Sus scrofa: one gene and its partner. The protein of the gene in region 1 interacts with the protein of each later gene in a biochemical or structural test. Links are inferred from orthologs where the notes say so. Each region holds a gene or a part of one and is shown on either strand. Other genes may lie near its edges.

Evidence for each region.
Region 2: the proteins of CRYAB (region 1) and CRYBA1 form a complex in vitro, tested with the Homo sapiens proteins (2 studies listed by BioGRID and IntAct, with this or other methods). The link is inferred for Sus scrofa from reciprocal best matches to the Homo sapiens genes CRYAB and CRYBA1.

What each region holds. Positions count from the first base shown.
Region 1 is NC_010451.4:39,640,549-39,644,223, reverse strand, and holds the start of CRYAB (alpha-crystallin B chain), read left to right. Parts: upstream 1-784; 5' UTR 785-1,061; intron 1,062-1,245; coding exon of another isoform or gene 1,246-1,339; exon of another isoform or gene 1,340-1,475; intron 1,476-2,221; 5' UTR 2,222-2,236; exon of another isoform or gene 2,237-2,326; 5' UTR 2,327-2,419; coding exon 2,420-2,620; exon of another isoform or gene 2,621-3,150; coding exon of another isoform or gene 3,151-3,197; exon of another isoform or gene 3,198-3,675. Other genes in the region: HSPB2 (heat shock protein beta-2), read right to left, coding at 330-784, 1,246-1,339. UniProt on the Homo sapiens protein: May contribute to the transparency and refractive index of the lens. Has chaperone-like activity, preventing aggregation of various proteins under a wide range of stress conditions.
Region 2 is NC_010454.4:45,465,024-45,468,773, reverse strand, and holds the start of CRYBA1 (beta-crystallin A3), read right to left. Parts: upstream 2,724-3,750; 5' UTR 833-2,723; coding exon 788-832; intron 1-787. UniProt on the Homo sapiens protein: Crystallins are the dominant structural components of the vertebrate eye lens.

The DNA.
Region 1 (3,675 bases):
GGGTGCTGTGACGTTGGGTACATCGAACTGAGCAGCTTTTTGTCTAGCTGTCCTTTTTGTCTTTCCCTCCCTGCCCATCCCATTGTCCAGGTCACAGAATAGGGAGCAGCACAAACCAGGCCCTGAGATTTGGGTTTATTCAGCTCCACCCTAAACTAAACGAAAAAACGCTATGACACGTCCCAAGGGACCAAACCATACATTGTGGACCATGCACTTCACCCTTCCCCCAAGGATGCTGCTACCTCTAGGGTGGTGGGCAGCTGCTCCGTATCACCGTGGGGGCGGGGGCTAGCAAGGGGTTCAACTGGGTGCTGGGTCTGTGACATTCAGGGCTCAACGCCGGCTGCCTCCTCCTCTTCCTCTGGATCAGGAGGTGCAGGGAGCAGGGAGATGTAGACCTCATTGACCTCTGTGTCCAAATGTCGGCCACCCCGAGGCGCCTCCAGGTTGAGGATGCCGTCATGGGAGAGCGCGGCGCGGACGCGCCAGGGGTCCACATCCGCAGGCAGGACGTAGGTGCGGCAGAATTCTCGGGACACGAAGCCGTGGCGGTCCAGGCGCTGGGGGTGCCGGGCAGACACCTCCAGCAGGTTGTCCACAGTCCTCACGGTCACCTCATCTGGGGTGAAGTGGCTCACATCCAGAAAGGCCTGGAACTTGCCCTCACTAAGCCGAAGCTCCGAGGCCCCCGCCCTGCTGCCCTCCGCCGCTTGGGCTGCCCGTGGCCGGACGTAGTAGCCGTGGTAGAGGGTGGGGGTCAGGATCTCTTCTGGCAGGAGGCCTGGGGGGCAGAGGGGGAGAAGGAGAGAGGCGGGATGAGGGACGAGGGGTGGGAAGGAGGTGAACTCTGGGGAGATCGGGGGTGAGGCCCGGGGAGCGAGGAGGGGAGAGTCGGAAGAAGCAGGGGAGGGAGGGATGACAGGGACTGGACAGAGGGGACTGAGAAGGGAAATGGGGGCGGGGAGCAAACCTAACGCGATCTGGGGGGTCGGAGGGGAAGCCCCCACGCCCAGGCAGACGCGGCAGGTGTCAGCACCGCGGGCACAGCCCGCACCAAGGTAGGCAGGAAGGGGAGGGAGCCGAGCTTAGAAGGGGTGGGGTGGGGGGGTCTGGGGTGGGAGACGGCTCGCCCCAGGAGTTCACTTAAGCCTGGAGTGGGGTGGAGGCCAGGATCTTTGGGAGGTCAGCCCAGAATTTCAGGAGGTGGGGGTGGGAGGCAAGGGGGTGGTGTCCGGGCCGTACCTTCCCCGAAGCGCTGCTCACCCAGGCGGCTCGGGTTGGCAAACTCGTACTCAGTGGTGGCCGGGTGGGCATGTGGCACCGAGCGGCCCGACATGGCTGCAGATGCGGCGGCGGCTCAGGTCCGAGGTGCGGCCCCAACAGTCGCAGCGGGACCCCTCCAGCTGCCGCCGTAGGGCCAGGGTGCGTTCGGAGTGGGGGCGGGGTCTACACCACCCAAAATAGTGCCGAGCCTGGGGGGAGGGGCGAGGAGCGCCCGCGACGGCTGTGTGACCCGCGCCGCCTGGACCCCCGTCCCCTCCCTAGCACACTCTTCAGCTGTCACATCCCCGCCCCCTCCCTCCCCCCTCCCCCGGGACAGCTGGGGGTCCTGGCCGCGGAGCGAGCTGGGCAGGGGAGGCTGGTGCGGAGGTCCGGGAAAGGCCTCGCTGAGACCCTCGCGAAAAAGGGTGTACATTTCCACACCCTCCTTCTCCTCCTCACTTGCAGGCAGCAGGCACCCTACTCCATAAAACTCCCCTGGATTTAAGGTTCTGCCAGCCACGTAAAGCGAAAGATGCAAACAACTTTCTGCCCTTTCTTTGGGGGGTGCGGTGAGGGGCCTTTTGGTCTTGACATATCAGGGGCCTCTCTGAACCGGGGGCAACCCAGAGCACCACACGGAAACCTGCCATTGACATGCTGGTGATCACTGCTCTCCTCCAGGGCCCCACAAAGAGTTAATGTCCCTGGGGCCCAGCCTAGGAAGATTCCAGTTCCTGCCCAGGCCCAAGATAGTTGTTGGCCCCATTCCCTTGGCATGCTGGACTGGAGAGGAGGAGGGGCCCGCTGCCCGCCTGCTTGGGATTCCTGACTGGGTCCCAACTCCAGGGAAGGGGATGGGGGAAGGGTGCCATTGGGTGTGGACAGAAAGCTAGTGAAACAAGACCAGGACAAGCCACTGGCCAGCTCAGACGTGTCTGTATTTCTCTTTTCTTAGCTCAGTGAGTACTGGGTATGTGTCACACTGCCAAATCCCCGATCACAAGTCTCCATGAACGGGTGGTGAGCTGGGATAATAAAACCCCTGACATCACCATTCCAGAAGCTTCACAAGACTGCGTATATAAGGGGCTGGCTGGAGCTGCAGCTGAAGGAGCTGACCGGCCAGCTGACCCTCTACATCCACCCAGCCGCCATGGACATTGCCATCCACCACCCCTGGATCCGCCGCCCCTTCTTTCCTTTCCACTCTCCCAGCCGCCTCTTTGACCAGTTCTTTGGAGAACACCTGTTGGAGTCTGATCTCTTCCCAGCTTCTACTTCCCTGAGCCCCTTCTACTTTCGGCCGCCCTCGTTCCTGCGGGCACCCAGCTGGATTGACACTGGGCTCTCAGAGGTAAGTATCCCCTCTGCCCCGACAGGAGAGTGCATTCTGGAGCCTCCTGGAAGCGTCCCCATCCACTTTCCTCTTCCTCCCAGCCTAAATGTGGCTGTGTCTAAGGGTCTCAAGGGTTTTAGGCACTTGTGTGTCCTGCAGTGGAGAAAGATGGGGTTCCTAGTTCCTCCCCTCCCCCCCACGCAGGCACCTGTTTGGATTTGACGCCCCTGTGTATTCCACTTCTTATATTTTCCCCGTGTGCTACAAAGGTCATTCTCTATCCTCTTCTTCTAAGTAGGGTGTCCCTTTCCAGTTTGGTTCATAATGATCTACAGTGCAAGGGCTGCCTTCAGACTCCTGCTCACCTCTTCTAACACCTCACACTCCTCACAAATACTATCATTTCAAGTTTCAGAGCCAGGAGACAGTCCTACCTCATCCCTGCTGCGTGCAGCTGGAGACAGCAACCACTATTGTCTTCCACTCCCTCTTCTGTGATTTTCCAGGTTTCTCAAGGCTGTGACAGGGCACTGGCCTGGGTCCGAGGCTCACGAGGAAAGAATATAGGTCCAGTTTTCTGACCCCCCAACTTGTCCTAGGAGTGTGGGAAAATGAGGGGAACAGATAAGGTTGACAGAAGCTGTCACAGATAACACTCTGGTTTAAAATTTTTCAAGTGTAAATAAACAGGAGCTGAGTGGACAAGGGCTTTGGAAGGACAATCAGAGCCAGCAGAACATTCCAGATTGAGTGGGTGGGAAACTTGGCAGAGACCTGAGCAAGAAGAAGCAGCCTTTGTACCACAGACAAATGACAAGGCCAGGCATTGGGTCAGAGAAGCAGCAGAAGCCATGCCCAGACCCATCCTTGCGATTTATCCCCTGAGTGGCCTTTTTCCCTGTAAATAAAGTTTGGGCCTGATGACCAAGTGGTGTGCCCCCTGAACCAGAGAACCATGTTTATTCAAAAAAGGATTTTTAGCTTAAAAGGGGAGGACCAACTACCCGAGCAGAAAGCAAGTCTGCAGAATGATGAGGCTGTATTAGTGTAATCCCCATTCTTACCACTTTTTC
Region 2 (3,750 bases), on another chromosome or scaffold:
TGGTTTATGATAGGAGTGGTCCCTCAGGAATGTTAGCTTGCGCAGTGGGCATACCAAGGACTTGTGAACTGCTCCACTATGCTTCCTGCCTAAGTGTGGCCCAGAGGCGAGGATTCTGGGAGACCCAGCAGCTCCCTGTGGAGTATTTATTAGCTTCTCCAGCCATACTCCCTACAGAAACCTAAAGTGTAAAAGGAGAGTTGCGATAAACTCCTTTCATACCTTGAACTAGAACTTGACTCTTCAACCTGGCTAGAGGACATCTCCCAAAGCTGTGAACTGGACTCAGAGTTGATCCAGTGAAGAGGGTAAGGGTGTTGGAGGAAACAGTGGCTGAGGCTCAGCCACTTCAGGCAATGGTTACAACCAACCTCATTTGGGAGTCAGGAGACCAGGGTCCAGTCATTTATTTGGGAACTGGTGGCCAATCTCTCCTCATTTGGAGGCCCTCAGGTTCTCCTTGTCATAAGCCATTTGGGCTGCTTTATTTTATTTTAAAACGATTTTAGCAGTGTGGAGGAGAGCTGACCTAGAAAACTAGATATCATCTCCCACCCATCATGGGCTTCCAGGATCATCCTTCTTCCATCCAAATGGGGCATCCTGAGAGATCCTTCCTGAGACAGCCTCTGGACTTTCTTGGAACCTTACCCTACAAAAACTGGTGTTGTATTGGTCAGCCACTGTTGCATGGAAAAGCACAGCTCTGGAGCCTACCCTCTGATAGTACTCACACCCCCTGCCCTGATGGATTCCTTGATTTTCCATGTGATGGGGATGGGCTTACCTTCCATGGCCCCACAGACCCCGGCATGGGGTTAGTTTGAGCCATCTTGGTGGTTGGAAGGGATTCTGGAAGACAGAAAACACACCAATGACATGGCCTCTGGGGTGGGGGATGAGGAGCACAGGAGAAAGTAAAAGAGGCTTGAAGTCCAATAAATAGACTTTGGTTGGGATCCTGGCCCTGCCTGTCACTAGCTGAGCCTCAGTTGTTTTCCATTGTTAAAGCTTCTACCCGCAGAGTTATTACAAGGATTAGTAGCAATAACGCAGCGAAGGCATTGCACAGGCATGATGACCACTTGATAAATGCAGTTCTCAGCCTCTTGCCTGCCTCCAGGCACCCACTACAGGTGGCAGCATTGCCTCAGTCTCACGTACCCCAATAGAAACTCCTTGGTGACCATCTGACCCCTCATATTGCCAGTGCATGGTCTCACTCTCACCTGGCTCCTCAAAGCCCTCAAATTGACCGGCTGTGCGTGGTCATGCTACATTCCCACCCTACTTCTCTTCTAGACCTAACCAGCCTTGGTCTTGCCTCCTGAACCTTTGCTGCCTTCCCCGCCTATGGCGGCTTGCTTTCTTTCCTACTTTCAGCACTCATCACAGTACTGATCTGTGTTCCTATTGAATATGTCCTGGGTGAACATCTCAAAGGCAGGGCCGGGATCTCCTGAGTGGTTGCTGAGCACATGTCGCAGTGGTGAGGGCTTGAGAAGGGGAATGGGTGGCACTGAAAAAGACCTATTGATGGAAAGTGAGGAAGAAAAGAGGATGACAGCAATAGCTACCACTGAACGATGGCTCACTCTCTTCCAGGCCCTGTTCTATATGCTTTATATGCATTCATACATTTAATCTTCCCAATGAGCCTATTAGGTAAGTACTGTCATTACCTTCATTTTACAGATGAGGGTACTGAGGCTCAGAGGGGTGAGGTAGACAGAAAAGATGATAGGAAAGGTAAAGGAAGGAAGAACAGGGGGAAGGGGGGCGGGAGGCAGGGCAGAAAGAAGACAGGCAGGTGTACATCAGTTTTCTCAACAGCCATTCATGGCCTTTGGCTCTGGCTGGTATTGGCCCAGAGACTGATGCATGTAAACTCTGACAGATCTTTCCATCCTGAACCTCCAAATAAGCGTTTCCTAGCTCTTGCTCACCCCCACTTCTCCCTATGCCCCAGGAGCTGGTCATTTCTTGAGGCTCCATGTCCCCTCCCAGCTATGATGGCTAGGGCAGTGGTCATTGTCCTGTAAGTAACTCCTTTTGGGGTGGCAAGAGAAGCCTGCCTCCCCCAGAGTTCCCCAGTCTTCTCCAGCTATCCTAAGAAGCCGTGACTACAGGGCAGGAAAACGGGGCCCCCTTCTGGGCATGCCTCTGCAAGGGAAGGAAAGAAGGACCAGAGCACCCCTCAGGGCCTTACTCACCCAGCTCCTGCTGCAAAGTCTGGGTCTCCATCTGGTGCCACTTCCTCTACGGCTCTGCTTTTTATAGCTCTGTGGCTGATGGCCTCTGGCTCTGTCAGCACTCTGCTTTCCCTCTGCTTTTGTTTCACCTGATCCCAGAGCTTTGGTGGCTCAGCCTGCTGGACAGGCATCCCTCAGGGCTTTGTTTAAATGTGGGATACAGAAATCCAGAGAGGCCCCACTGCTGTGGGCGAGGCTGGCCATGCAGGCCTTGCCTGCTGCAGACTTGCTCTCAGAGGAGCTGGGAGGTGAGGACAGGTCTCTGCAAGAGTACTTGCCCCCTGGCCTTTCCAGATTCCTCACACCACCCCAGGACCTTCCTAAGATTCCATGTCATATCCAACACAGCAAAATGCACGTCACTTCTCATACAGGATATACATGTGTTGCTGTTGTTTAAAAATATGAAAGATTCAGAATTCCGGTCGTGGTACCGCAGAAACGAATCCAACTAGGAACCATGAGGTTGGGGGTTCGATCCCTGGCCTCCCTCAGTGGGTTAAGGATCTGGCGTTGCCGTGAGCTGTGGTGTAGGTTGCGGATGCAGGTTGGATCTGGTGTTGCTGTGGTTGTTGCTGTAGGCTGGCAGCTGTAGCTCTGATTCGACCCCTAGCCTGGGAACCTCCATTTGCCATGAGTGCGGCCCTAAAAAGCAAATATAAATAAATAAATAAAACTAAAAATATGAAGGGTTATTACAATTCCGAGCTCTATTAAGAAAAATAAATCGGGAGTTGCTGTCGTGGTGCAGTGGAAAAGAATCCGACTAGTATCCATGAGGATGCGGGTTCAATCCCTGGCCTCGCTCAGTGGGTTAAGGATCTGGTGTTGCCGTGATCTGTGGTGTAGGTTGAAGATGCAGCTCAGATTCCTCAATGCTATGGCTGTGGTGTAGGCCGGCAATCCAGCTCTGATTGGACCTCTAGCCTGAGACCTTCCATATGCAGTGGGTGCAGCCCTAAAAAGCCAAAAAAAAAAAAAAAAAAGAAAGAAAGAAAAAAAATTCATTCACTATTTTTGGTAATCTTTATAATTGCCATATTTTTATGTATAACTGTTTAAGAGTTGAACTCAGTTATGGTCAGCTGGTAGACATGAATCTCTCTCTGTAGCTATATTATTAAATATTGACTCTTTAACGTTGCAGTTGTCTTTCAAAAATTTGGAGTTGGTGTTCCTGCTGTGGCACACTGGGTTAGGAATCTGACTGAAGTGGTTCTGGTTGCTACAGAGGTTCAAGATTGATCCCCAGCCTGTTGCAGTGGGTTAAAAGGATCCAGCATTGCCATAGATGTGGCTTGGATTCAATCCCTGGCCTGGGAACTTCCACATGACATGGTGTGGCCATAAAATTTAAAAACAATAAAAATCTAAAAAAATTTTTTAAAAATTTGGAGCCAATAAATCTTCTGAGTTTGGGGGTTTTTTTTGGCTGTGCCCATGGCATGCAGAAGTTCTGAGGCCAAAGATCAAACCCACACCACAGCAGTGACCCAAG